Struthio camelus: one gene and its partners. The protein of the gene in region 1 binds, or shares a complex with, the protein of each later gene. Links are inferred from orthologs where the notes say so. Each region holds a gene or a part of one and is shown in the gene's direction. Other genes may lie near its edges. The genes, in order: TGFB3, TGFBR2, ITGB6 and LRRC32.

Region 1 (7,432 bases):
TGTGGAACGTGGGTCCACACTTGCCCCTTCCCATCCAGTCTCCTGACGAGATGCCACAACCGTGCAGCTACAGGGGCACCAGGAGAGAGAAGGGGCCGCAGCCCAGGTTCATTAGCAGGATGTCTGAGCGTGAGTGTACAATTACAGCTGCCCTTCTCGCTTGGGGGAACAGCATCCCGAAGGGAGTGCGACGGTGCCCCGAGCAGTGTCTGCTAAAGCAGGAGGGTACCCTGGGGCGGGAGACCTTGGGTAGCCACTGTCAGCTGGTGACAAGGGAAGGGAGCTCCAGCTGGAGGCAGGGCAGGGCAGCAGTACAGGGTGCGCAGCGGTGCTGGTCTCCCCTGGCCTGACAGCCTCAGAAGCAGCAGGACCCTTGGGTTCACTCATCCTGAGCGGCACCTCCCGGCCCCCTCCCCATAACCCATCCTTGGTCCCCATCCCAGGCACCAAGCCCCCCAAGCACAAACGCTGTGATGCCTGCTGCCCACCCCAGTGACACGAGTCTCAGGCTGTCCAAAGGACGGTGGCGTCCACATATGGGAAAGAAAACAGCTCAGCATGTGCAGAACTGAGTCTTGCCCCAGAACTTTGACCTCTGACTTCAGAAATTCTTGATGAGAGGGAAGAGCAGATATGCAGAAAGAGTGAAACTTAAAAACTGTCCTGCCTCGGTTCTCTCTGGGTTCCCACACAGACGGTTCCACTCACGGGAACGGGCTTTGTCACCCACCCTCACACATCTTTGCCTGCCTTCACATTGGAGGAGAGTTTTCATCTGTCATTTCATGCTGTGGCAAAAATCTTGCTTACTTTAAACATCAGGGTCATACTTTCTGAACAGGATAATTCTCCTATGTCCAACTGTGACACCGCAGGTAGCATTTGACCCTGGGCCTGCAGCAGCCCCTGTTTAACCAAGACATAGTTAATGGGACAAATGTTTGTTGCTGCTGTGGCTGTCCAAAGTCATTTTGTCTGCTTGCTTCCCCTTCAGTTAGGGTCTGTGGTGCCAGGGTTGCTCTTTTCCAGTGGTCTGTTTCAAGCGTATTCTCAACTCCCAGTCTGCCTTACTTGTTCAGTTTTGTCTTCACTATAAACTAAAATGCTGCTACCGCCAGTCATCTGAACAGCAAGTAGGAACTATGCAAGCATTCCTTTCACGTACAAGTTCTCACACCTAAGCATGGACTCTATCCATCTGGTTTCAACCCAAATCCAATCACACAGAAAAGGACTAGCGGAGTCCTCCACCAGCACTGTTTGCTGTTGATTGCTCCTTGATTGGACCTGTGAATAGAGCTTGTGTCCGGTCGTCCTTCCACCTAAGAGAACACTTTGGAGAGTCTGGGAAAGCAATCATGCTTGAGCATTCCCACATGCTTCTGATCCTCAGCCACCATTACAGCAAGCGCACACACGTATAGTTAAAGCTACAGCTACGGGGGGAAGCCCACACGGTAGCACTACGGTGGGAGAGAACAATGAGAACCTTATTCACAGTGGCTGGAGGTTTTGTTAAGCAGCTGTGTGCTCTCTGATGGCAGTAGATTTTACGGGATGCAAGGGCAATTCTTGTAGCAACCAGTGACAGAGCATTGTGCCTTTCTTCCTCATCCAGTCCGCATGTAACGTGGCCAGCCAGACTGCTGACTTCAACATGGACTGATTCATTGTAAACATTAAGCCTCCCCTGGGAAGGAAAGCACCAAGTGAACAACAGCTGCCCAAGCCTGCTCCACGCTAGCTGCTCCAAGCACCTCATTTTGACTTTCCTGCATTTTTTCCCCCAAGCATCTCAAAGTATTTACCCCATCTCTAAGGGGGTTTGGAGGAGGGAAAAACTGCTAATACTCTGTTACTCATGCAGGTTCCAGAACAATATCTGTTAATATTTGTGAAACTTCAAACGAGATTTCTCTCTCTGAAAGGCAAAGGGGGCTTTGATAGATAGACTAGGCCTGTGCCTTTGGCTCTCTTGATCTCCATGAGAACAGATGCTGTTCAAGTTACATCAGCCCCAGCTCAGACTGTCAAACCCCAGGCAAGCTTGCCAAGCGTGAAATATTTCCTATGATGCTCACATGTTCGGTAGCCCTGTCAAGCTCTCCCTCAGCCCAGCTGGATTCCAGCATGTCCAAGCCGTGCAACCTGTTACCAATTGCTCTTCACAGCCACTAGCAGTGATTCCTGTGCGCGTCACACCATGGAGCTTCCCTGCCGCTTCACAACCTAGAAAGAGCAACAGGCAGAGCCAAAAGTGAGCAGCCCAATACTGGCACCAGCACCACACCTACATCTTTCTTCAATGCTGTTATTTCCAAGTGGTAAGTAACAGAAAAGCCTGCTCTCAGCTGTTAACAACATGACCTTACATTTTGTACTATTAAATTTCATCCCATTTTTAGTGTGTCAACCAAGGATATCCTTGTCTTCCCCTGTATTGACAATGCCTCCCAACTTTGGATAAGCAGCCAATTTCATTAGCGCATTCACTTCAGTGCGCCAAGATCGTTAATGAAAACTGGGCCCAGGACCAGCCATTGGGGAACTCCTCTAGTAATCTCTTATAATTCCTGTACTTATCTCAATCTTAACTAATAACTCACTATGTGGCACTGTAGCCAATGGATTGCTGAAGTCCAAAGCAATCAGTTCTGCCGCATTAAGTGTAACCTCCAACGTAATGCGGGGTGCAGGACTTCCCAGCATGGAAAAGCATCCAGAAATCATTTCAGAGGTGCCTGGGGAGTTTTAGAAATGTCCATCCCAATCTGTGTTAAAATATTCCAGTGGATAGTTAATGGCAGCGCTCAGAATTTCTACCTTATTCCAAGTCGTGATTTGTCTGACATCATCTCAGAGCCACTGGATCTTGTTACATCTTTGTCTGCTCCGTTAAGGACCTGTCTTCTCAAGTTCCTCTTCCCTGAGCAAAGCGTTCGTGTGCTGGGACCAGCTCCCCCCTTAATCTCCCCTTTGAAGAGTAAAACAGATCGAGTTCCTCGAGTCTTGGGGAACTCACTCGCGGTGTGTCCAACACATCAAGTTGCTTCACGGCTTTTCGCCGAACCTCTTCCCCACGCAGCGTCTTTTGTGCGCTGCTGACCCCTGAGCCACCAGCCCCGGCAGCTGGTCCCGGGCAGTCCTGGGCACTTGGGCGAGGGAAGGCTCCCTGCAGCCGGGGCCAGCACATCCAGCAGCGCATCCCTGGTGCTGCTGTGACAGTCCCCAACGCTCGACACCCGGGCCTGGGGCAGCACCGTGGGAGCTGCATGGCCCTGGGGGCCGCCCTGCAGAGCGCGACACCCCAGGGCCTTGCCCCACCGGAGCAGGCACCTGCCCAGGCCTGGACACCCGCCACGGCACTGCTCCCGCAGGTGTCCACGGGCCCAGCTCCTCCTCACCCGCAGCCCGCAGTGGGCGTCCCAAAGGGACAGCCAGCTTGCTCTTTCGGCTGAAAAAGCGACTGATTCTGCGAGCGGCTGCTGCTGGGGCAGGAAGGCACCAAGCCACCATCCCGCCCAGCTTTCGGGGGCGCCGGCTCCCCCTCCCAGGGCCCAGCCGTCCCGGAGGGGCTGCGGTGGCTCCTCGGCACCTCGGTGGCCACCAGCCACCTTCCTCTGCGCCCGGGGCCGCCGCAGCCCCTCGCCCGCGGCGCCCGCCCTCCCTGCCTCGGAAAGAAACCACATCAGGAAAGTATTCGGGGTATTTTTAGCCGCTTTGAATGCGATTTCGCAGCTGGAAGAGGGAGGAGCCAGCCCCGCGCCGCCCGCCGGCGCTCGCCGACCACCGCGAAGGGGCTCGGCCGCCCCCGGGCGGCGCCAGCAGGAGGCGCCCGCGACCTGCCGCCGCCGCCGCCGCCGCCGCCGCCGCCGCCGCCGCGCCGGGCCACGTCGGAGGGCGCGGGGGGCGCGGGCCCGGCCCGCCCCGAGCCCGCCCCGCGGCCGAGGCGCCCCCGCCCCGGGGTGCCAGGGCCCGGCGGCGGCGGCGGCGGCGGGCGGCGGCGGCGCGGGGGGCGGCGGAGGGCGGGCTGTGCCGGCTCCGCGCCTGCTGAAGCCATCAGCGCGGTGCTGAAGGCGAAGGCCGGGCTTGGAGCTCCCTCCCCCGCCCGTGGCCCGTCCCGGGGACGTCATGGGAGGGAGGTATAAAATTTCCGCGGCGGGGCCTGGAGAGAGGCAGTGTGTGCGGGAGGGAAGGGGCGCGGTGCGGTGCGGTGTGCCACGCCACCGGGGGTCGTCGGCCAGCGGAGCCCTCGGAGCAGCGGGCAGCCCGGCGGCGGGCCGGGCCGGGCCGGGCCGGGCGCGGGCTGCTGCCGCCGGGCTCCGCGGGGAGCGGAGCGGGGCCGCGCACCGGCCGCCCGCTGGGACGGGCGGGCAGCGGGGCAATGTAGGGCGCGGGGCCCGGCGGGGGCATGAATGGTGCAGCGAGAGGGGCGGGCGCCGCGCTCCCCCCGCGGCGGCGGGGCGGCCCAGCCCGCTGACACGTGCGGCGGCGGCGGCGCGGCGGGGCGCTCCCGGCTCCGCGCCGCCCCCGGCCCCGGCTCCGCGGGACGCGGGGAGGCGCATGGGGAAGGCGCCCGGCGCGGCGCGGCACGGAGCCTGCCGCTTCTCCTTGCGGAGCGCTGCCAGCTCTTCCTGGAAGTCCTGAATCGCGCTCGGCGCAGTGAGTTCATGCACCGCCTTGCCAAGCCTCAGCCTGCGGGATCTCGGGAGGCTGCCGCGAAAGCGCCGCCCGGTCTCCTGCGCCCGCTCGCCGCTCCCCGGGGGTCTCTCCTGGGGCGCCCCGCCGCGGCCCCCTCGCACATGAAGATGTACGTGCAAAGGGCTCTGGTGCTGCTCTGCCTGCTGAGCTTCGCCACCGTGAGCCTTTCGCTGTCCTCCTGCACCACCTTGGACCTTGACCACATCAAGAAGAAGAGGGTGGAAGCCATTCGGGGGCAGATCTTGAGCAAGCTGCGCCTCACCAGCCCCCCGGAGACCGTGGGGCCGGCGCATGTGCCTTACCAGATCCTGGCTCTCTATAACAGCACCCGGGAGCTGCTGGAGGAGATGGAGGAGGAGAAAGAGGAGAGCTGTTCTCAGGACAACACCGAGTCCGAATACTATGCCAAGGAGATCCATAAATTTGACATGATCCAGGGCCTCCCGGAGCACAGTGAGTTCCGGGCGGCCGTGCGCGGCGGGTGCGGCCGGCGCGGGATGCCGCGCCGCAGGGCGCCCCGCTGCCCGGGACGCGCGGGAGGCGGCTTGCGGGGCCGGGCAGGATCCCGGGGCCGGGGCGGAGGGGCCCCCGGGCGGGGGCGGCCTCGCGGCGGGCGGCGCTGGCGCTGCCGGCGGCGCGGGCGGACGCGGGGGCGGGCGCCGCGACGTGGGCCCCCTCTGTGGGGGCGCGTTTCCGCACGGCTGCGCGCCCGGGTGCGGAGGCGAGCCCGGGGCCGGCGGCGGGGTGCGCTACGGCCGCTGTCCCGGGCCCCCGGGCGGCGGGAGCCGAGTGGAGGCGACCTCCGAAAGCCCCGATAACCAGGCAGTGCGGGCTCACTCAGGGCCGCCCCGCCACGGGTGGCAGGCGCCGAGCACTGGCAGCGGGCAGGGATAGGTTTGCGGTGTCCTGGAAGGACATCGGCCCTGGCTGCAGCCAGGAAGCAGCACACCAAGCCCGCATCTGGAGCCCCGACATCCCAGAGAAGGCAGGGAGGGGAGGACAGAGCAGGAGGCTGGAGGAAAGAGGAGAAAGGGGAAGAAGACGAGAGAAGGGAAGAGGAGGCAGTTTGGGTCTCAGGGCGAACGCTTAGCATGGGGCTAGGAGAACGAAAAGGTCCCACATTAAAGGACAAGTCTTCCGCAGCTGGCAGCTGGCTCCTCCTTGCTGAAGCTCCAGTGCCTGCTGACAGGATACAGTCAACCTGTCCAGGCTGTGCAGAGCCCACATTGGCTGTAGAGAAGGTGGAAGGGCATTTGCCAAAAAGATTCCTGCATGGAAGACACTGTTTGAGGATGTTACTCAACTACTGAGGGGTCAGAGAGTGAGCAGAAGATAACAGGATGCTGAGCAGGTGCAAAACAGACAGCGAGGCAAAAGAGACCCTCACCACTAACAACATAGGCACTGAGGAAACATGACAGATGCTGAGCAGGTGCAGAGCAGATGAGCAGGCCCAGATGCAGACACTAAACAGATTCAGGTGCAGAAGCTGAGCAGATGCAAAGACAGAGACTGAGCAGACATGAACCCAAGCACATTGCAAATGCTGAGCAGATGGAGGCACAAGCAATCCTTTCAGTCAGTGCTTAATACTCCCTCCTGCTAGAAGAAGTTGGTGGGCATTCAGTCACATCACCATCCAGGGTGCTCTCTTGTGATGCAGTGCACTCTTGGGGACACTGAACACCAGCAGTTCCGGGGGAGGAGCTGGGACTCAGTATAGGCAGCCAGAATGCAGCTACTCTGCCAGGTTTATGTTAATCTTTACATATGATGAGCTGGAATAAGAGCCACAATGTGGTAATGCAACAGATTTCACTTAATCTCTAGCAGACTGCACTCCATATGCTTATATGATTAGCTTTTAGCGCAGGAGACCCCAAGACTCGAGGAACAGAAAGTGCACAGGGTATTAGCAGCTTACCCGTATTTCAACATTTTTGACCTACTAAAGCGCCCGTTGTGAAATGCTAAAAATGTATGGGTAAACCAAGTCTCTGCACAAAATAACATAGCCATACTATGAACCAGTTGGGTTCTGGAGCAGGAAACTGAAAAGCGCAGCAGTAGGAAATGAAGTCAGAGGGAAGTGGATTTGGGTGAAGTGGAGGGGTAAGAGGAGGATGTATGGTGCATAAGAAGGAGCAAGAAGACAGTGGGGAGAGAATGTGAGTTGGTGGTGTAAGTGCAAGACAGGGGAGCTCAGGGCAGTAAAAGTGCAGGTGAGTGCAGAGATCGCTGAGAGGAAACTCCCACAGCCACTGTCTACCAGATAAATACTGACCTCTCCTTTCCATTCCTATGGAAATGAATGGACCTTTCGCATTTCCATCTAGGACACCAGGACATGGCTCTGAGCAGTGGGTTCAGAAGACCAGCTAGTGTTAGGATTGAATTCCTGGGAGCCGGCTGGGTAGATCCCACTATCCAGAGAAAGAAACAACTTTGGAATTGGGTCACACTGGGAGAAACTGGCTCCAGATGGGCTGTGGTGTAGAGGCATGCTCTTTCTGAAACCTGGGGAGTTTCACTGCTTACACCGTTGCTGAATTTGGCCCTGTGTCTTCAAAAGTGGCTGATGTTCAACTTTCCCATGACTCTGTCACTGTGCCAGGTGGTGATCTCAGAGCATGCTCTGAGCCAGAGCCAGTCTCCTCCTGGGGGGAAGGGGAGGGCTGCTCCATTGAGGGAACTGTGAGGATGATACAGACAAGTCTGAAATGTGTATATA
Region 2 (7,078 bases), on another chromosome or scaffold:
GCACAGTAGTTTAACATGAGTCTGTAGAGGACTATGTGTTCTTCTTCAGCAATAAATGGTGCACAAGACATTGCAGGCTTTTTATTAAGAATGCTGAAAGGCCAATACTCCGTGCCAAGCATCCTGAATTTGAAAATTAGAGGAGAGATGTCAGCTTCATGAACGGTGCACTGTAAAAAGCAGAAGTTTTGGTCTAAGAAGAATACAGGGTTTCAAAATTTGTCTTTGATTTGAACTGAAATATCAAGACTTCCCTGAAAATAAACCTCTTCCTTCACTTCAGTGAAATCAGGATGTTGTATGTTGCTCTTTTTTGTTTGTTTTTATGTGTAAAATGAGGAAACAACAAAAATTCAAAACTAATTGGCTGCATCTCAACAAAAAAAGATCTGTTTCATTCCAAAAATGTCCAAACGGGATGTGTCAACTTTGTCAAAAAGATTTACCAATTTTCTTTTGAAGGTAATTGTCACCAAGTTTATTTATAGTCATAAATGTTTTGGTTTTGGTCAAACTGCTTATGCCAGTTGTGTAATTGATAGTTCTGTAAAAGCGGTATAAGCATACGATATTCCTCATTGCCTCATTTCATTCCAAACAAAAAACACAGGCAGAAATCCCAATGTTTGCCAGTCAGTAAAGCATCCTGTAGCTTATGTTATACAACTTGTACAGTTCAAAGAACATTTTCATTAGGAGTCATCTCATCTAAGATCAGCTGCCCAAAAACTAGGTGTCTGGGCCAATTATGCTATCGTTAGCTCAGGTCTCTAGAGGTTTCTAAAACAGCTAGAATCCTCTCCATCCGTTGATGATGGAGGGAATTTAGCAGACCGAATAGCTTGCTGCCCCTGTAAAGGGCAATCCTGCTCATCCAGCTGTTGTCCTCTATCCTTTGGTCCCTGAACTTGATCTGGGACTAACTCACTATGCAGTTGAATAAATGCGATTGCTTCTTTTCATAGCAGGAAAGCTGTTAGGCTTTCTGTTGTCTCAGGTGTCTCCTGGAACCTCACTCTGAGGCTAACTTTTGGAGAGCTACAGTTAAGTGAGATGTTTTCACCGCAAGCCACACATGTCAGCTTCATACAGGCATAAACACTATCCTGTGCTGGTGCAGCTGTTTAGGCCTTCTCTAATTCTGAGTCAGTGGATCTCAGAAACAGCTTGTTGAGGGATTCTTAAACTAAGAAACACCAGACCTAATAAACTAATCAAAGTAATGGCTTTACTGGGCAATCCAGTGGCTTGTGAGTAGAATGACTTTGAGCTAAAGGTGGATGTTACATACAGTGAAACTGCAGTTGTAATAAGAACGCAAGTTTTGTGGAGGCTTGAAAGGGTTCTTCATATGAGAATAATGCTGTAGAATTATGGAATCATGGAATTTTGACAGAAATATGACATTGCAAGCTGAGAAATAGTTGGGTTAGGAAAGAGAGAAACCATTTGCTTTCACTAGTTTTTATGAATTGTTATAAAAAGTGGTACCTAAAACTGCAGCAAGAAGCACTTGTGTTATCTTTCACTAGAAGGCTCTGAGGTGCGAGAGGTATTAGCTTGTTTGTGTTCTGGGTATCTCTTTAGATCATTTTTGAGGCTCAGAAAGAAAACAAAGAATACTCAGTATTTCAGTATTTAGCTTTTCTAAGTAGCAAACTGAAATTAGCTGGCCCTTCCTTACTCAGTCAGGCTGGAGTTAATTATTTAGTTCCAATCTGCGGCTCTTCAAGGCTGGCTCTTTCTCACCTTAGGCTGAGGTTAACTATTCACAGTTTCAATCTAGAAGTAATAAACTGCAGTCTGCAAAGAGGGAACTGGGAATTATGAATAAGGAAATGGAAAGATATGACCAGCTTAGCCTTGTTTTATATATTCTTGGTTGTCCAGGAAATCCTGATTAAACTAAATTTGGGCCTTAACATGGAAGCTTATAGTACTCAAAAAGGCAGGACATGAGCTTTGTTAATAAGCCTGTCTACAACAAATCTATGAACCAAACTGAAGTTTACTTCCACTTCCGTGTGGACTTTCTGTGACTGAATTATTTCTCCACTGAGGATATCCAGGTAAGATATATTCCTCCATCCACCCAGAAAACGTCCTAATATGAAGTTATTCTTAGTCATACTTCCTAGTATGACATATTGTGAAAACAAAAGCAATGTTTACATGGAAAAATTAGACTTCTGAAGTCCACATATGGTAGACTCCCTGCTTATTGGGTTATCTAACGAGCAGTATCACGGAACGTGATGGAGAAGAGCCGCGATGCCAGGCTGCAGTCAGAGATGTGAGACGGTTGGGGCCCTGAGCGCTCAGGACTGAGGCGTCCCCAAAGCCCCTCTCCTCTACTGGTCCGAAGGTCGCAGTGCGCAGGAAGAGCCACGGCACTCACGTCAGGGGGAGAGATCAGGTGCCACAGCAGTGGAAAGTGAGGCAGAGGCCAGCTCACTGAATCATACCTGAATTTTGACAGGTTTGAATACTAACGTTAAATCTATATTTAATGGCTTTTTAGCTTCCTTACATGTTGGAAGTTAGTCAGGCAAAACTAACAGGAGAGCTCAAGCAGCATACACAGCCAAGTTTCTAAGCAAACAGCGGCTCTTGACAGCTACATTGTTACAACAAATGTTGATGGGGGTTGAGAAATGCTTTCACATAATAAATTACTAAAAACAGAATTTCTAGCATAGCGTGGATGCTCAGGAACTGGTAAGAACACTCCAGGTCTGTACTCAAAGGTGAATCTGACATTTCTTACCTCCTCTGGAAGGTGGCATCTTTGTTTGAATGAATCTTGAGTGCATTTAAAAGGAGGGAAGGAAAATGCTCTTGGAGAGGTTTATGGGAATGTGCACAATAAACTAGGGCTGCACTGTGAAAACATGCATTTAGGGAGTTTTTAAAAATAAATTTACATAAAATCACAATGAGATTTTTTATGCCTGTTACAGGCCAATTAAAAGCATTATGTAAACACTTCCAAATTCATACAGAGTTGATGTGGGACATTCAGAGTATGATTATGCATATTCCCCGTGAGGGCTTAGCCTTGTTTCTGAAATACCCAAATCTGTACCTCTAATTCGTGCTGTAATCAAGACAAAAGTGAATCACCACAATTTGAGCAGGCATTCTCAAATTATCCCCATGTGCAGCAGTTTACTTTTCAATCAATGCCCAGCCATTTAACTCGGAGAGGAGGGAAGACTGAACCAGAAATGGCTCTCAAGGCAATTCCTGGCTATGCAGTGGCTGGACTTATACAGGCAGAAGGCACAGGCCTTATTCAGTGTAAACCTGCTGAGGATCTAGTGGTTCAGTCACCTCTGTCTGGGTCATGCATAACTGACATCACTGGTATGGTCCCACTCCCTGAATGCTCTGTGCAATTTTTCCTTTCTGAAGAAATCTCTGGCAAAAGCTGAGGCTGCTTTAGAGAGGAAGGGAGATGAACTTCATCTGTGTCACACGTGCAGGGCTTGGGAGCAAATGGTGTGCATCCAGCCCATTTGGGAGCAAAATGCAAAAAAGAGGCAGGTGGTGAGTTGTCACAGTCTGCTTCAGCATCTGCAAGCCGAGTGCCCAGCTCGTCAGTGTGAACATTTCCTGTTATTACCCTGATTTCAACCTGCCTTACCCCCTGCTTTAGTTCATCAGGGGGTTACGTCTCCTCTTTCAGATGCCGGTCCGGCAGAGCGCGAAACAGGCCGCAGCAGCACCGCCAAGGGCAGGGCTACGGCTGCAAAGCCCCCACGCTCCAAGGCCACGACTGGGCCCTCGTCCGCTCGTGGGGACACGGGAGCAGCGGAGCTCGCCGTTTCCCGGCGTTTCCCAGCCTCCGCGCTGCCGGTGCCGCCCCTCGGGGCCCGGCGGGGCGCGCCGGGGGCGCCGCGCTCCCGCCGGGGGAGGCAGCTCCGGGCGCCCGGCAGCACGTCGGGGCTGGCCCGGCGCGCTCGGGGTGGGAGAGCCAGACCTGCGAGGGGTTGGCCTCTGGCAGATGATTGACACCAAACTGGGTGAGGTTTCATGTTTAAAAAAAAAAGGAAAAAAAAAAAAAGGAAAGAAAGAAAAGGAGCGAGCGCAGAGGAGGGGGTGAGCGTGGAAGGGGGGAGAAGGAACTCCTGTAAGAGTACGAAAGAAAGTCCTGCCCAGCTGTTTGCGAAGTTTAAGATTTCCTGTTTCCCTTGCAGCGCCGAAGTGAAGTTTTTAGTGAGTCACGCGCGGTCCCGAGCAGCAAAAGCAGCGCAGCCCGCGCCGCCGTGCCAGCCCCGCCGGCGGCCTCTCCCGCTGCCCGGGCGCCCGCCGCTCCGCGCCGCTCCGCGCCCCGCCTCGGCCTCGCTCTCTATGCGGCTGCGGCTCGGCGATGCCTGCCGCTCTGCCGAGGAGCCTGCGGCGGCTGCTGCTGCGCGTCTCCGTGTGGCTCCTAATGGGCAGCTCGGTCCCCGCTCTGCTTCGGGGTAAGTGCGCGCCGCTGCCCCGGCCCCCGGTGCAGCCTGCGGAGCGTTTTCACTTGACAGTTGCTCGGCCGCAGGCGGGAGCGGTGGCAAGGGAGGGGGAGGATTTGGTTGCTAAGAAAGTTTTGAAGCTGGTAACAAAACGCGGGGGGGGGCGGGTAGGGAGGACACGCGTGTTTATTTATTGCCCTGCTGGGGAGTTACCGGGGGGAAAAAGGGCTGGGGAACTTGAGTGGGGGGGGGGGGGACTCACAGTAGACAGTGAGGTCCGTCGGCAGAGGGAAGCGAGGGAGAAAAAGAGAGAATTTGGCAGGAAATGCAACAGGGTCTCATGTGGCCGGAGGAGCCGGAGAGGGCAGCCCGGGAGCTGCCTGCTGTGCCGGGCCGGGCCGGGCCGGGCCGGGCCGGGCGGAGAGGTTGCCGGGCCCTGCAGCTGCTGCAGCTTCCGCACCTGGGGGCGGCGGGGGCGGCCGGTCCGCACCTCCCGCCGCCGCGGGGCACGGCTCCGGCGCCGCTGCTGGCGGCCCTGCCCGCCCACACCGGGCAGAGAGCGCCGTGGGTGCTGCGTGGCCCGAGCCTGTGCGTGCCGTCCTTCGGGGCGGTGGGCCCGCGCCCGGCCGCAGAGCTGGCTGCCGAGGCGATCAGCGGTTACTTACCAAAAAGTTATTTGACTCTGTGGGAGTTTCTGCGGCATTGCCTGCAGCAGGATTAAGGCATGGTTTGTGAGCAGTTGCACTGGGAACGGCAGTCATTCTTGTAGCGCTCGATGTCTTAAAGTGCTCATGTTGTTTAATTCACTTTTACTGATGCTTTACGTCCCTTATTCTGGCTGTTTTTATCCAGACATCTGTAGAGAGATGTTTTGAGGCTGTGGCTCGTATTACTCTTCACAGAGTAATTTGGAATGCACGGAGAGGTTGAAGTGCCCCTGTGAAAACAGGGCCCCTACCCTGAGGAGCTTCTGGTCCCAGTCTTACCAGTGCTAACCCACGCGTGTGAACTAACATCTCTATCTGCGAGGTTAGGCCCTAAATCGCGTTGCAGCTCCATTGGCGAAGTTAAAAAGAGAACATCCTATCGCAGCAAAACTGTATCTGAAACAGTTTTGCGGTATTAAGCAGATCTCTGAGGTGCCTTGTTATATTGAATGTCTGGTTTTAGTCTTTAGGTAAGAGGAACAGGCACCTGAGCTTTTCCAAGCTGTGCTTGGTGCTCCAGTTCTCCCCTGTGGTCCATTCAATAACGGTCTCAAAACTGTTGCTGAAAAATAACAACATAAACTGGATAGCTCTCGCATAGCCACTGCAAATAGCTGTGTACATGACTAACTTAATGCTTCGTTAATAACCCAGTCAAAGTCAACAGGCCTTACATACCTGTAAAGTTACTCACGTAAGTTTAAGGCACATGAAAAAACAGTTAAACAGTTTAAGAATAAGGGTCTGTAGTGTCCTAGGGCACAATATCTTATTATTATTTTAAATTTGAGGCATGCAGCTTCTTGTTGATTTTGGTATATATTTATGATTAATATAAACCATACCCAGCTAGTGATGGCTTTTATTTTGATCCTGGCCTAAAAAATATTACTGTAGATTCCTATTACACAAAGCTTTAACGGAATTAAACTGAAAAGCTCCAGTTTTATAAAGCTGCTGTTCTGTTATTATTGCTTATGCTTTTTTGCTCAACCAGTATAGACAGTTTCAAACTACAGATAAACTTTTTAATGGGCCTATCTTAAGAAATTTTTTGATGTCTTCTTTCTTGTCATAGAGCCAGTGAGGAAAAAAATAGAGATTTCCTTCCAGTTCAGCGTATTTCATGCTGATCTTCATCTGCACTCTACAGTAACCAAAATTGGGTTGACCTGTTGTCAGATAATTGATCATATTCAAAATTCCATTTTTGTAATTACTGCAGGACTAAGCGTGTAACGAGGTAGCACTGGTCAGAAAACAACAATTCTGTGGGGGCAGCAAGTGTGAGGTTTGGATGTTGGTTTTTAGTAGTCATCAGAATGAAAACTAGAAACTTTGTTTGGGAAAACCAAACAAAGCCCAAGAAGAGCTACTCTCTTTGGAATAATCAATAGCTCTGCAGTTGGGAGAGGATGAGGCGGGACGGATAACAGCCTCAGGAGAGCTTGCTTCCCAGGTGTGTGTACTGACTACCTGCTGTTGTTGGTGAGGGGGGCTAACAGAACCTCGGCTAAAATTTCATCTTAACATTCTTCCTAGCAAAATACTGGTCAAGAACAGCACGTTTACACAAAAATTCTGGAGAAAGCCAGGAATTCATGAGCGGGTCCAATAGCAAGTATTTCCTTTGAAAAAGATGCTCAAATATCCTGTTCTAGACACAAGTAGTTGAAGTTATTTCCATGGACTAAAGGGACAAGTTGTGTTTTTTGAATGATTGTGACTGCTACACTGATAAATGGCAGTGCAAATTAGCAGTCGCCTGCATAAGAAATGAACGCTGCTTTGTCCAAGTGAAATTGGAATCTGTAGTTTATATTTGGAGTATTAAAAACTTAAATTTGTGCTTTGGAATAATCTGTGTAATGATTCCTCATTTCTGAATATCTGGAACTTAATTTCTTCATTCAGCCA
Region 3 (7,219 bases), on another chromosome or scaffold:
GGGGTAGTTGTTTTGTTGCCCTTCATGGTAGAGGGGAAGCGGGGGGGTCTCTGGCTGGGGCGAGGGGCAGGTGGCCAGCTGCCCCACTGGGCCCACGTGCTGCCTGGCTGCAGCAGCTCATGGCACTGCTCTGAGGAAACCCCCTTTTGCTTCTTCTCAGGTCTTTCCACTCCTCTTCTACCTCCCTCCCTGATCCCAGGGTAGAGCCCTAAGCCCATCCGTGCCTTCTTTGTTTGCTTTTGCAATCCTTTCAGTGCTTTCCCCAGCCCTTCACCTCCAGCCCAGAGAAATGATATAATCTAGGTGTACTGGGACACTTCTGCTCTTTGTGCTCCATTTCCCAGTTAGTACCTTAGATGAGACCCTTATATGTTGGTCTTCCAACTCTCAACCTGTGGATACTGATCCTTCCTCGCCTGCTAGTAGCCTAAGCAAATTCTGCCTCCCTGCCGTTTCTGGCTTTGGCTCAGGTTTGTCTGGGATTCTTTTGTTGTTCATCCCCAAACTGTCGTGTTCTGCTTAGATGAAAGGGCCTAATTTAGGTCTGTTAATATGGACCTACAATACAGTTTATGGGGGGGGGAAAAAAACACCCCTGAAAAGGGCATGTGACCTGAGTAGAAAGCAAGTGTGGTAGAGGGGGAAGCACTGCCTCGTTATCCTAGAATGACCTAGTATTATAATAAATAGAAAACTTTTAATAATCAAAGTAGTTTCAACATGATTCTCTAAAGCAATGGACTAATTGTTCCAGTCTGGGAGAGAGATTATGCTATGTGTCCTTTGCTAGTAGGGCTCTTATTTCTTCCATCTGGTGTGAGGGAAGAAAGTGGTTGCTTAAATCACTATTGATATACAGCGTATGAATCGCAGTTTTGATTTTATGAACAGCCTCTGTCATGGCTCATGTGGACTGCCTCATGCTCATTGTACTAGGGAGATAGACACACTGTCACCATTCCTATAAATAGCCTGGTTGGTTATTAAAGAAAGACTAGTAGTGTTCCCTCTGGGAAGAATAGGACTTTTGAAAAATGGCATTTTAGACCAGTTTTCTTGAAACTTTCTACAGGAGACAGCATTTGGAGAGTAGAAAACTTACTAAAGAAAGACCATAATCAAGGAGTTAATCTCTGAAACACAGACACCAGGTGAATCTGGAGCATTTGGAGAGGAAAGCTAAGTTAGAAGGAGTAACACAGCAGTGTCCCTTTACAGAGGGGGCTCAGCTGCGGGGCTGGCAAGGGCAAGGCAGCTGACGCGGAGAAGAGAGACTCTCTGAGATCCAGCGGAAAGCTGAGCCGCAGCACAAGGACTGTTGTGAGCTTGAGGAGGTCTGCTCCACAGCTGGAGGATGCTCAAGTGTAGTGGGGAACATGAGGTAAGGCGACATTTTTTTTCCCCCTGTATTTATGTTGGAGCAAAGTGAGAAGTGATTGTGTAGAGAAACTCTTATGTTTGAACTGTCAACTGTTTAGCTGTTAGCTACATTAGCTGTATTAGCGATTAATCTTCTAAGTGCAGAAAGCACCTTCAGGTAAACACCAAGCAGCCTCAAGGCAGGTTCAGTAGGGATGGATGTTTTTAAGTTAGTGAATAGTCTGGGGATCACTATTTCTAAGGGAATAGGACATCTGGGCTATGGGTCCTCATTTCTGTAACTAAGTGTGCTAGAGAGACCAAAGAGAGCATATGTCCTGCTGGCTGCACAGTGACAAGAGTTTTATTGCACATACTGTGAGAGGTCTAATATAACATGGCATTGAATGGCAGATAATAAGGTTTGGTAAGTGTCTTCGCCTGACTAATAAAAGTAACAAATGCCAAGATATTTTGGGATTTTGCTTACAATGGACAACAGACAGAGAATTCAGACCCCACCTTCAGAAACCTGGGGAGACTGCAAGAGTGCTTTCAATTGACAAAAGCACCCTTTGTGCAAATCACGAGTCTGCATGTAAAACAAAAAGATTGCTTTATCAAAAGGAAAGGGATAGAGCATTAAATTCGGGGATGTGACTAACTTCTTCTGAATAGTGAGGAAAGCACCTCACCTGTCTGTTATCTTTCTGTGCACTTCCTCGGTTGTGGCTGGGGCCATCTGATGACTGTTTCCCTTCCACTCCCAGCACAGGGCGGTCTGCCTGCTGTCAGCAGTTAATGAAGTCACCCGCAAGACTCCATCCCCTAGGGAAAAACACTTCTACGAATAGGCCTGTTACTTATATCTCTGGTTGCAATGCTCTCAGCACTTCTCTTGCTATGCCACCATCTCTAGTGCTTACGCCGCAGTTGTTTTTCATTGCAGAGTTACTGCTATTCAGGATGGCGAAAGATGGCCGCCTTGCTCCTAGCAGAGTTGTAGAGCGCTTTGAATGCTTCTGTGTTGTTCCCTGATGACAGTTGCAGCTTCTGAGGTGCCACAGACTTACCAAAAACATGCAGAAAGTGAAGCAGCAATGAGTAATGGTATTGCAGCACTAACTTTTAATAATGGTCCACAGTGAACTTCATCATGAGATACTTCATCAACATGCAATATCCTATAATAAGGAGGAAAAAAAGGCTTTTTATGAGAACAAAATGTTTCCATCCTACTGAGACAGAAAGGGAAACTTAATCTGATGAGAAGTATTTAGAGAGCATCACCTATTTGCCCAGTGAGGCTTGCATGTCTAGTTATGATTAAGCTGTACTTGTACGGAATTGCATGTTGGTCTAGACAGAGCTGAGCTATAAAAGAAATAAAATCAGTAGAAATAAAGATAGATGAAGAATGATGAATCATGATGAAATGTTGTCCAAAGTATGGAAATGTAAAATCTTGAAAGTACTAACTACCATTTGTAGGTCGCTGTTTGTGCCAATAAAGGCATGGACTACTCAGTGCAGTAAACTTGTGTTTTTGTGACTGAGTTGTGTGGTTGAGATCTAACCCCAAATGATTTTACAACTGAACATCTTTGTAAGAAAATTTAACTGACAATACCAATAGACAATCAAAAGGAAAAGGAATAAGTAAAATGACGTTCAGTTTGAACATTACCTGTTTTCTCTTGGGGAGATGTTGGGGGGCAGCTCTTTTAAAAAGTGGGTTTCGATATATGTAGATTTTTTTAACCTGACTTTTAACAGACTTTCCCCCCATCAAACTGTCAAAATTTTAATTCTCAAAAAGCTATGATGATATCTTCAATAAAATGCCAATGTAGATTTCTATCCATCATCATCAAAATGTCTGCACAATTCCTACATGAGCAGAGTTAAAGTCGCTATCTCATATGAACCACTGTTCATGCGCCTCATCCTCCTACTTCTACAAAATCAAAAAAATAATAAAACTTGTTAGTCAGACTTTTCATTTCATATCAATTCTGGATGGCTGAGTAAGTTTGAATGATTCATATGAAAGTTTAATGTCAGCCTTTAATGTGTTCGGCCTGACACATGGTGTGTCTTATAATATTGATATATCTCATCAACCTAGCAATCTGCATCAGCTTGCTGAAACATGCCGTGAAAGGAAACTGATGTAGTAGTTCTGATCTGCTTCTCTATGAAAGCTTTAATTAAAACATTTACACTGTCTGTTAAGATTGAAGGGATTTGGGGAAACTCGTAAGATGCCTGTGCTGTCATTAACAACATTTCATTTTGAAAGTTTAGACAGAAATATGCCTCTTAAGTCACTGCTGTGACCTGGACAGCGTCTCAGTGGCATCCAAAACTTGTCTGACTTGCTATCTGGTATTTTATATATAAGAAAACACAGATTACTACTTTACTTTCCAATCTGCTTGCTAAGTGCTTTCTGCCAGTAACAACCAGAGCGGCTGCCGTGAATTCAGGGGTCCTGCAGAGCCTGAACTCTTGAACTCTCTGAAGAGCTCTTGCAGTGGTTCTCATCTGTCTGCCAGGGGTGCGGGCGAACACAGCTGAGCACACGTTTCTCTCCTAGGGTTCCTATTTCCCACTGCTGGTGCCCAGACAGCCTCAAGGCTGTGACAGTGTAAGCAGTGCTCCACGGTCTCCAGGCTTGTCGGCTGGGAGGTTAAGCCTGATCAAAATGAGGTTTCATTCACTGCTAGCTGCTCATGAAATGACACCCTGCAGTCTACCCAGGAACAGCACTACTAGGGTAACGTGTCCTGGCTGTGTCTGCAGAGGTGCCTTATTAAGGTCTGGCACAGACTGGGTTTTTTCCTCCCTTAGCAGAGCTGTCTAGAGGGTAGGACTGTGCATGGACCGTCCCTCTCCAGGACAGAAAACCTGCTGGTAAGAATGATCCTTACCATCGCCAGAAGCTGTTTCTTGCCCGCTTCAGTCCCACAGTGCTGTGCTAAAGGCAATTCATTCGATTCAGTAGAAATGGATGTTAAAATCAAAGCCAACAACTTAGTCAGCTGTTTAAAATCAGCTTCAGTAAACTTTGCTCCCTCTCTGATCTTTTCCTGACTTCCTCATCCTCTGTGCTTGGCTTTCCTCCCTGAAGGCATTCAGGCTCAGATTTGGAAATCCCCTGTTCCCAGCACTGAGCTGTTATTTTTCTGGCAATATTTACCTGCTGTCCTTGTAGAATTGACTCAAGGCCTCTGTGGTGCCTGGGCTGTTATTCGGAGTATTAATAGAAATTATAAACAGAAAGAGGCTGACAGATATCTCCCACAAGAACTGCACTAAGGGATTTCTTAAGCCAGGAAGGCTCTCCAGGAGGAAGCTTGAGAGGCTGTATCTACGCTTAAGCCTGTACTGATTCTAGTTGCAATACAGGAGCAAGTTCTTCCAACAAACAATCTTCCTCAAAAATCCCTCTGACAATGAAGGAAAAAAAGTATCAGGATCATAAAACAAACAAAACAAAAATCCTATATACCATGAAGACTGTGAACTTAGAAGAATGTAAGCAAAAAGCCAAGTCTTGACAGATTTGTTAATACGTGATTTCAGAAGCACTAGCTAAATCAAACTGCCATCGCTCAACTCACAAACACAGCAAATGAAAACAAAATATGTTTTTTGAAGAACCAAGGGAGAAAATACGCATTATTATATATTCATATACTTTATAGTCATATAAAAGTGGTAGGAATAAATCAGATGGTAACACATGAGAATATAAATATCATTTGTGTGTCAAGTAAAAAGGCTGTATTACTCCGAGTGAGCGAACTGATGGTAAAGGATACTTGGTAAAAATGAATGTTTTTCTCAGTAATGTGATTGATTTTGTGCGTGAATCCTGGGTAGTTGTATGCCTGCCAGTTTTAAAAATCCTATCACAGTCCAAATAAAGGACCAAAAAGGTTTATTTGCTTTTGTATATTGTTTTAAACCATAAATATTGAGAACTTTCACAAAATGAGAAAGAAAAATGATGACCTCATCAGATCATGATAAATGTGTACTTTGTACAAGACGTTACTAGCATATTCAGTCCTCTGCTGGACTATTACATAGCTCTGCTTGAAATCATTATCATGACTGACTTATAAGTCGTGCACTCATCTCCTTTGGTCTAATATGGCGCAGGCAGAAAAGGGCATTTGTGCTTGTCCTACATGCAGGGAAATTCATGCACTGTGCGAGAGCATACCTCGCTTTGAATTTGAGAAAGATGGCTTAAAAAAATTATTTAACAAACCATATTGTTAACTTATATTGTTGCTTATATTTTGTCCAGATTTGTTCTGTGTAGCAGTAGGCACCCGAGGGGCCCAAGTCTGGAGCCAGTTTTGCCCTTGGCTCTGCCTATAGTAAACACAGACAGAGACACCTCCAGTATATGAGGTGTTTAGTGTGTTTAGTGTTCCCTGAAGGGTTTGCTTACAACGACATGCATGGTCCTCTGGAGCGATCAGCGTTTAACCTGTCTGAATTTGTCCTTGATCTCTCCTGTTGTGTGCCCTCACAAGTTCCCCAGCACAGCTATTGTTCTCTGATTTATAAGGGCATTCAGATACCTGTTCCAAATCACTGTTAACCCAGATGTCATCCAGCCTTTTTGCTGGCAGCAGAATACAGGCTTTGCACACCTTCTCCTGCAGACTCTATTAGCTAGTAATGAATGGTGGTATCTTCTTCTGTTTTTTAGTACTGCCAGATACAAAGTGTCAATGGCTTTGAAATTAACCAATTTGGGTTGGGGGGGTGTTATCCACAGCAATGTGTGTTTTACCTGTTTACGAGTACGCATTGCCAGAGCAATGTCCAGGCCCATAGCGTTGCTGAAGTAGCATACTAAAAAAGCAGATTTTATGATAACATTGTTATTTTTCTCCACAGTTACTCCTGAATCATTCTTATGAACCAGGCATGGTCACCTGTTCTAGTTGTGAATCGGTTCTTCAGGTACTAAAGCTATGTAGACGTTTCTAATGCTTTCATTCTTCATGAATAAATGCCATGTCCCTCTTCGGGAACAAATTATATCACTGGCTGCTAGACTTTGTCAATGAGGCTTCTTGTGCCATTGAGCAATCCATGCGCAGAACTGTACTTCTAATATTTCTTTTTCTCCTGTCTCACATGGTAATTGTTAGCTTGAACAATATTATGTTCACTAACCTCTTTACCCTCATTTTTGTTTTCCACATAGTTTTAAAATAGTGTAGTTACCTTATGGTGGTTAGACATTCAAGTGTCTCACCTGATTAGGGTGAGCAGGATCTTGCACCAACTTAGGGAAGCTCATCCACCAGACCAGTAACACACTAGAAATCAAAAGCAAGAACAAGGTTGCAAAGAATCACATCATAATTGACTGAAGTATAATGAATAACTGACAACTATGACTCAATGTCTGCATTTCTTCCCTAACAGAACACTTCATTGTATGCTGGCTTTGAATAGGTTTTCACATAGTTTCAGTTAATGATTAACTCAAAGTGACTAAACTACCTCCAGGAGAACTGATGACACATCTCATAAACAATTACTCAAGTTCAAAAGTATATTCAAGATTTCACTTTACCTATTTCATTCAAAAATATTTTTCTCTAAACTGAAACTATTTTAAATCTGCCTTATATATGTAAAGTCAGCAGCACTATTATAGCATAATTTCAAGCCAAAAAGATTGTATTCGAGGCAAATAGAGACACAGTATGTGCATGCATTTTCATTATTTATTCCATTTATAAAACAGAAGGCATTTTAATGTCTGTGGAAATGCAGTCATTTCTTGGCTGAAGCAACTTTTTATCAGCTCGCATTGTAGGAA
Region 4 (7,207 bases), on another chromosome or scaffold:
ACAACGCTGTTATCATATTCCTTTTTTGTTATTACTCTCTGTGTTAACAGTTGCAGAAGACGGGCAGACGTTTTTTCTTTCTTCGCAGAATTTTAGTCTATTTACGGTGTTACTGAATTACAGAGCTCTGAACCAAGGGTGCTGCAGAAAGATCAGTCCTGTGCACTGATTAAATGCTGCTACCCAAGCTCTCCGACACGGACTCCTAATATAGCCTTGGGCAAATCACACAGTGCCCGTGTAAAATGCACAGAGTACTATTGAGATCATCTGGTCTTCTCACCGTTAAAGCTGTCATTGGACTCTCCTTGCTGGAGTACAAGATGTGAGACAGCAGAGTTATTTTTTTCGACTCTTAAGATCCTGACAGCTTGGATCTCACTTTGGGTAAATGACAACTTGCTGATAGTAGCTGTTTTGCTGAATCTGTACTCTTATCATGAGGAATTAACGTTTTTACAAAATCTGGAAATTATAAAGTTCCAGAAAATCTCATCCTATATAAGAACTAAAGATAATTTTCTAAAAGTAAATCCTGTTATTTTCTTCATAAAAGTGCAAATGTTTCCTTTAAATAAAAGCCAAACTTAAATAACAGTGAAAAATTGATTTTTTTTTATTCAAATGTAATCATTTCAGCTTTAAAATGACATTATTATTCTAAAATACTGAAAATATTTTACTTCCAATAACAAAAATTCATGAACAGCCATCTCTTTTTAAAGCAGGTAGTAACACCTTAGCGAATAGATCAGTGGTTAGCCTTTTACTAACAGAATGATGGATAACTCTCAGGACGGATATTCAGTATCAGTCAAGTCAAATAGATCAGAACTAAAATTCCTCCCTTCATTTTACCTGCTATTGGATCACATAAACTGAATACATCTTTTCTTAAAGACTGAATGCACCTGCAGTTAAGAGAAAAAATTGCGGGTGTAAAAATGAGCGTCTCTGTCTTTGCTATGCGTAGATTAAGCTGATGAGAAAAGGTTCTTAGTTTTTTCCCAGATTTGAATTTGCTCCAGAAGTTTTGTTTTCCAGGGTAAACATTTCATTTAGTTTCATCTTAAAATGCCAATTCATTGCTGGTTTTGTACATTGAGGCATGTTCATTTTCTCATCTGCTGCTGTCCCCTTGCCCAACTGCTCTCTTATAAAGTCTCCAGGGTGACGGACTTTGTGGGATTCTTATTCATTTTCAGTTTCTCTTCTGGAGAAAGGAGTAAAGAAAAGGTGAAGGAAGTTGGGGAACTAGCTAAACTTTATCTTTATTCCTTTGGCCAAGGGGATCGGAAAGGCTAATGTCCTCTGGATCATTTTTTGCTGGGGGTAAACGTCATAGGTTGCCTGGCCTGGTAGAAGTGCATGCAGAGAGGACTGTGTGTGAGAAAGGGAAGGAAGGCAGCAGCTTGAAAAGACAGGAGGAAAGGCCTGATTTGGGTGAAACTGGTGATCCATGAAGTGTAGGTGTCGCAGTTTTGATGTGTGGACTTGACGCTGGAGAGCCACGAGGCTGGGTCTGCTCATGGCAGCGGTCCTGGTGGGTCTGCAAGACTGCACCATGCAGACAGCACCAGCAAATTGAGCCAGAAGAGGGAATTTATGGAGACGTCGTAAGTTCTCAGGAACTGCAGATGTGCCTCCTTCCCAATGGTGCTGGCTGAGGATGGCACGGATTGTTTATTTTTTTTTGATAGGGTTAATATTAATGTTTCCCGGTGGGATGAATCACCAAGGAGCTATTCCAGTCCAAGGGATCAAGACTTGCCCCCCCTCCTGCCCCTGCAGTTCAGACTTATTTCTAAGCAAGGAGGGTTTTTTTTGTTTATTTCTCTCAAGATTTTGATTCATGTGGCTCGACACAGGGCTCAGCCCAAAAGCAGTGCCTTAGAAAGCAGTAACGTTATGGATGGACAGACTCCAAAAGGTCTGGAGGTTCAAGTCACATAATCGTCAATACATATTCTTGTTTGTCTGAAACCCTTGGGAATCTGCAGCAGATGACAGACAGTCTCATGAGAGCCAGCTATTGGGATTTGCTTTTCCTTCCTGCCCCAAGTTGTTGTGGGGAGAGCCTGAGAGCCAGGGCTAGTGGCAGAGGCACCCAGTGCTGCACCTTGTGGTGCAGCCAGATTTGCCTAGAGCTGGCATGAGCTCCACCTGGCTTCAGTAGGAGCCAAGTAAGCAGTGATACCTAGAGAAGACCGCAAGAAAACCAGAAAGGGTCCGATTTCACGGAACTGCAGGTGCTCTGAAAACCCTCTGACATCAGAGGGATGGGAAAGCCCTCACTGCTGCTGGAAATAGGTGAGAGAGCCTGCTTGTCCATCTACCTGATGGATCTAACCTGTCTGACGGGGATGACCCTTGCTCTATAGCCCTGGAAACAAGCACGTGCCGTGCTAATATTTCAATAGCCCTTTACAGTGTAAACTGCTGAGTAGCCCAGTCCAGAAGAGCAAGCATGAAAATGCTGAAAATGAGAAACCAACCAAATGTTTTGGAGCCTTTGAAACTTTTTCCCTTCAGATCCCCTTTGGGAAAGAGCAGAGACGATGAAGAGACCTCTTGCCTTTCCCAGCACAGTTGGTGCATCTCTGAGGTCGCAGTTTCAACGGGGCAAAGTCCTGAGCAGCAGGATGGGCGGACGCCCTTCCCTCCCGCTTTGTCATTTCTTTCTGTCCAGGCTCACCCACGCAGTTCAGTTGGCACGGCTGCTCGGTAGTTCAGTAAATTAGCTCAAGGAACTGATACGGCTTTTTAAAAAAAGCATCACCAACAAAAACCCTGCTATTTTTTCGCCTGTGAATCCAAACTTCCCACTGACCTCACAAAGCAAATTGCTCTGCACATCCAGGTGCAGGAAAACGCGACACTGCAGTCACCCAAGACATTCGCTTCTCTTCATTGTATGCATGATATTTGCATTCCCTATCCAAATCCAAATCAAAACATCCTTTCACCAGAGATATTGTGTTTTTTTTTTTCTTGAAGACCTCAAATATTTGAGGTTTTCCTTGAGAAAACTCCCCACCAAGAGTAGCTGTACATTGCAAGTGATATCACATGCTACTGACGAATTGAAATATAAATTCAAAGCAACCAAAAGGCATTTAAACTTCTGGACTCCACAGCAATCCTGGGGGCCAAGTCCAGCTGCAACATGAGTTTCCTACTTCCACCAAGGGGGTAGCAGATGGAAGGTTGCGTCTAGTGAGCACGCCAAAGCGATTGAGTAAAGAGGCAGTGCTGTGGCCAGCTCCGACCAACGAAAGCTTAAGAACATACGTGCTAGGGGAAGCTGATCAAAACTAGTCTGATGAGAGTCCAGCAAAGGAGAACCTATCCAGATTGTGTTAATATCTCATTGACAAACAGTTCTCTTGAGAGCTAAACATGGATTTTTCTATCCCTTGCACCTCATCATGCCCTCCCCAACCCACATGTACGGCCGCCCCTGCGTAGCATTTACTCCTCGCATGCTCGGGGCGCTTTGAAAAGCAAACAACATGATAAGAGCCTCGCTCTTTGACGTGTTAGTTTAACCACAGGAGAAGTGCATTGCAGCAATTCAGGCTTGCGAGGTTGGGAAACAGCAATGGGGAAATCAGCACAATGGCAGGTTTTCCAGAAGCAAGTCTTGATTAAGTAGGAAAATGAACTAAGGAAACTTGCAATTAGGCAGCTGCTCCAGCCCTAGAGGGCAGCACAAAATAATAAATAAAGAGCTGAACTCACAGGCAATCTGACAGGCATGGCAAAAGTGTCCCTTTTGCAACGGGAATTTTTACTAGTGGGTCTGGTAGCTTGAGCACTGTGTACTCACTGCCAAAAATTAAACATCTCATCCAGACTTTCGGATCGGTCTTTCTTTGTTCATATCAATCTCCCTAATTTCTGCATCACCCCAGAGAAACCCACAAAGGTGCTTTAAGTCAGGTGCATGGAAGCTGATACCGACTCCCCGTCCTTCCATCAGGTTGGTATCGCGCTCTCGGACCAGGAGGGCTGTTACTAAAAAAAAGGGGTTATGTACTCCAGGAAAGATTGCACAGCTGTGAGTTTTCTCCTTATCAACAGCAAATCTGAAACCTTGAATCCCCAAATGCCATTTTTGCAAAGATGCAGATAACGATTTAGGTGGCGGGGTGGGAGGGCTGCAACGCTTCAGGAATGTGACGCACGGACACAAAACCCTAACATAAACACGCCGCCTGCACCGCGCACAGAGTTAAACAATGCAGCCGGCAAAGATAAGTCACATATTCCCCTGAGCAAACCCGGGGCCCGATCCCGCCCATTTCTCTGTCAAAATCCCCTTGTTTCCTGATGCGCGTCTGTCCCGCGCAAGGGTTGCAGGATGTCATACAGTAGCTGGCTTTGTTCAGCGCGCAGCGGTGCCTAGGACCCAGCAAGAGCCCGGAGAGGAATCAGAGGGAAGACAAGCAACATAATTTAAAGCAGACACTGTCCCAAATAAGGTTATTTCCCTCAAAATGCCGTAGTTCGAAAGTTACGAGTAAGCCGCTTTGCATCCTGAATGGGTGAATGGGAAGCTGAAGAGCAGTTTCATCGGCGCCAGGACTGAATCAGTTGTGAAGACCTGGATATGCTTTTTAAAGACATGATAAGCAGTGTATGGGGATGCAAGAAACCCTTGAAACAAGGTAAATGTGAAATGCTCACTCTTTCTAACGGTGAAGGCACTAACACAGAAGCAAAGTGTCTTGTCTGAGGAATTTCTTGGGGAATTTGGTTTGTGTTTTGCGTATTCTTTTTTATTTAACCTCTATCTGGCATAGAATAATTTCACTATAAGTTGTCTAAGCAGCTAACAAAAAATACTTTGGGGGGAAAATTGGAAACTGCTGCTGTTGTTACTTACAAATGTCATCTATTAATTTTTTTCAAATTTAATATTATAAAAGAGATGGAGGGAAATCTTCCTCTAGCATAAGAACTGGACAAACTGAGATTAAATCCTAATTCTACCACGGTTTTCAAATGTGTCTTGTGGCAAATCACTGCTCTTCTCTGCTTGTGCCCTCCCATCTGTTAAGTGGACATAGGGACACTGCCTGGGCACCATACTTTTTCTAAATGATGGAACATTTTACCAGCTTGCTAAGACTCCTTGGTGGTGTCACTGACACCACCTGTATTTTTCAACTGTGAATGGGGCTAGGTAATTTTCCCAAACTGTGGTGGAAAGCTGTGACATTAAACATGATGCAAAGCTCAGTCCTGCTCTGAGAAATGCTGGGATTTTTTATCCTATTTTTCAGTGGGAGCAGACTGGCACCATGAATGAAGCTGCTTCAACTTGGCAGAAGCCTCACAGCAGTAAAAGCTCCTTTAGGTTGAGTTATTGCTTTTGCTGCTCCCAGACTGGTTTTGAAAGTCATGGCTAGAGCCATCAGTCCCAACGCAAACAGACAGCTGCTGTGCTCAGCAGGCTTCTTTGCCCTGTCTAGTGTTTGCTCCTTCCTGATATGGGACCAAGCACCGTACCATGCCCCGTGCTGGGATGCACCTCTAATGTGAGGACCTCTGACAGCAAAGGGTCCATGATGCTAAACCACAACATGTCAAAGGGTTGCACTGGGCAAAGGTGGCAGGTGGCTGAGACCTGCCAGAAGGGGAGAGAGGAGGGGGACATGGTGCTGGACACACAAGATCTTGCTGACCAGGGTGCAGAGTCAAGAGAGTCTTCCGGAGAAAATCTAAGCAAGAAAAGCTCCTCAGCTGGGTAGCTAAGCTGAAAAATGACCTTGGGAAGGGATTCTCCAAATTCGAGGATGTAGCGCCATACCACGAGGAGTGGCTTACCCTTCTCTGGACTGAGTCTATGTGGTCTAATATTTTGAGGAAGAAACCATCAGGTTCCAGTACTTTGGGGCTCCAGGGTGACAGTCATCCTAACAATGCCCTGAGGGACAGATTCCTAGCTTGCTATGGAGCTGCCTTACACAGCAAGCCATTAAGTCATGCTCTTGGTTGGAAACATATCAGTTTCCTTGTTACTTTATGAATTTATGAAGTTTCAAAGCATGTTAAGACCCTGGATTGTGCCAAGGTTATTATTTAAGAAACAAAGGGGCCATTTTTTGCACTGGTAGTGTGACAGAGTAGACCGCGGACAGCATGGGGGACACGCTCTCTGTTAGGGCGGTGCCCTGTTGTGAGTAAAATCCATGGAGAATTTGTCATATTATTGCACTGCATTTAAACAGAAACAATTTCCTTTTGAGTGTTCTGAGTAACGCCTTCACAACTGCACATCATCAGTATGTTTGTCTTTTCTCTCAGTTCTAGCAAACTAATGATAAAAGTCATCCTCTCCTCCACCCCCTGGACAAATTTCCTTGCTCAGAGTCCACAAGCACCCACTTCCTGTAGGCCTCAGGAGTGTGTAACAGAGGGGGAACACCAAAGACATCATAGACGGTGCTACCAGCAGTTCCTCCCTCCACAAGAAGATTTTTGGAGCACTTTGCAAACAATAATTAAAAGGCTTGAGAATTAGCATATTCAGGCTGGGTTTGGAGAGGAGGAAACAGATTTTCATCATGCTGTTGAGTCTTGAGGAAAAACTCACAACCTGCCAGATCTTGGGGTCCCAGATCATCACCCATTACAGTTTTTTTCCCTCAAATGGAAGGAATATGGAGTCTAAAAATAGAGCAGCTGTGTCCTAAACTTGCCCAGTACTTTTCCTAGTGTACATCACTTATGTCAGGCTGGGAGGAGGAGGGAGGTGTGTTGCTTCACTCAGAAGTCTACAGAAACGCATCAAACTATGTCACGGTGTGGGGACTTCAAGGGAAAGCAACAGAGGGTGTGAGCAGTCTGCTCGAAAGCACCTGGTTTGTGTCTCCTGGCAGAAATGGATGTCCCAGGATGTCACGGAGGTGAGCTGGGGGAGCCCCATGGAGACCTCACCCTCGGGTGAACCTGTTCAGCAATTGCCATGCTCTGTGGAAGCGCAGAGCTTCAGATGCATCCCTCAGGCAGTGACTAAGCGGAGGGATCTCCATCAGCTGGGAACGATTCCATCTTTTCTCTTTTGCTTCCAGCCTCGTGATGCTCTGTGGGTGGAAGCCGCTGAGTAATGATACGTTGACGCTGTCTTTTGGAGGCACATGCAAGTGAGATTGGCTTTGGAGCTAGCTGGATGCAGGCTTGCTCCCGGAAAGTCTCAGGA

Evidence for each region.
Region 2: the proteins of TGFB3 (region 1) and TGFBR2 are in contact, whole or in part, in a crystal structure (PDB 9B9F), measured with the Homo sapiens proteins. The link is inferred for Struthio camelus from reciprocal best matches to the Homo sapiens genes TGFB3 and TGFBR2. Residues at the interface, in NP_001316868.1 of Homo sapiens: Arg325, Lys331, Trp332, His334, Tyr390, Tyr391, Val392, Gly393, Arg394; in NP_003233.4 of Homo sapiens: Leu50, Phe53, Asp55, Ser72, Ile73, Thr74, Ser75, Ile76, Glu78, Val100, Asp141, Glu142.
Region 3: the proteins of TGFB3 (region 1) and ITGB6 are in contact, whole or in part, in a crystal structure (PDB 4UM9), measured with the Homo sapiens proteins. The link is inferred for Struthio camelus from reciprocal best matches to the Homo sapiens genes TGFB3 and ITGB6. Residues at the interface, in NP_001316868.1 of Homo sapiens: His259, Gly262, Asp263, Leu264, Arg266, Leu267, Lys268; in NP_000879.2 of Homo sapiens: Ser142, Ala143, Ser144, Asp147, Pro196, Cys197, Ser199, Ile200, Tyr202, Cys204, Ala234, Asn235, Ile236, Asp237, Thr238, Glu240, Asp271, Lys355.
Region 4: the proteins of TGFB3 (region 1) and LRRC32 are in contact, whole or in part, in a cryo-EM structure (PDB 8VSB), measured with the Homo sapiens proteins. The link is inferred for Struthio camelus from reciprocal best matches to the Homo sapiens genes TGFB3 and LRRC32. Residues at the interface, in NP_001316868.1 of Homo sapiens: Leu24, Ser25, Thr26, Cys27, Thr28, Leu30, Pro347, Pro349, Tyr350, Leu351, Arg352, Thr357, His358, Val361, Leu364, Leu368, Ser375; in NP_001122394.1 of Homo sapiens: Ala110, Ser135, Tyr137, Ser160, Val184, Met186, Asp187, Ile188, Asp190, Phe193, Leu202, Leu204, Arg206, Asn207, Ser208, Thr210, Cys211, Ile212, Ser213, Asp214, Phe215, Ser216, Leu217, Cys227, Asn228, Ser229, Lys254.

What each region holds. Positions count from the first base shown.
Region 1 is NC_090946.1:58,264,544-58,271,975, reverse strand, and holds the start of TGFB3 (transforming growth factor beta-3 proprotein), read left to right. Parts: upstream 1-4,415; coding exon 4,416-5,154; intron 5,155-7,432. Other genes in the region: IFT43 (intraflagellar transport protein 43 homolog), read right to left, coding at 2,082-2,132. UniProt on the Homo sapiens protein: Transforming growth factor beta-3 proprotein: Precursor of the Latency-associated peptide (LAP) and Transforming growth factor beta-3 (TGF-beta-3) chains, which constitute the regulatory and active subunit of TGF-beta-3, respectively.
Region 2 is NC_090943.1:46,973,769-46,980,846, forward strand, and holds the start of TGFBR2 (TGF-beta receptor type-2), read left to right. Parts: upstream 1-4,072; 5' UTR 4,073-4,101; intron 4,102-4,199; 5' UTR 4,200-4,372; coding exon 4,373-4,466; intron 4,467-7,078. UniProt on the Homo sapiens protein: Transmembrane serine/threonine kinase forming with the TGF-beta type I serine/threonine kinase receptor, TGFBR1, the non-promiscuous receptor for the TGF-beta cytokines TGFB1, TGFB2 and TGFB3.
Region 3 is NC_090947.1:27,362,292-27,369,510, forward strand, and holds the start of ITGB6 (integrin beta-6), read left to right. Parts: upstream 1-4,211; 5' UTR 4,212-4,275; intron 4,276-6,282; 5' UTR 6,283-6,348; intron 6,349-7,219. UniProt on the Homo sapiens protein: Integrin alpha-V:beta-6 (ITGAV:ITGB6) is a receptor for fibronectin and cytotactin. It recognizes the sequence R-G-D in its ligands. Internalization of integrin alpha-V/beta-6 via clathrin-mediated endocytosis promotes carcinoma cell invasion.
Region 4 is NC_090942.1:221,240,030-221,247,236, forward strand, and holds the start of LRRC32 (transforming growth factor beta activator LRRC32), read left to right. Parts: upstream 1-4,200; 5' UTR 4,201-4,641; coding exon 4,642-4,670; intron 4,671-7,207.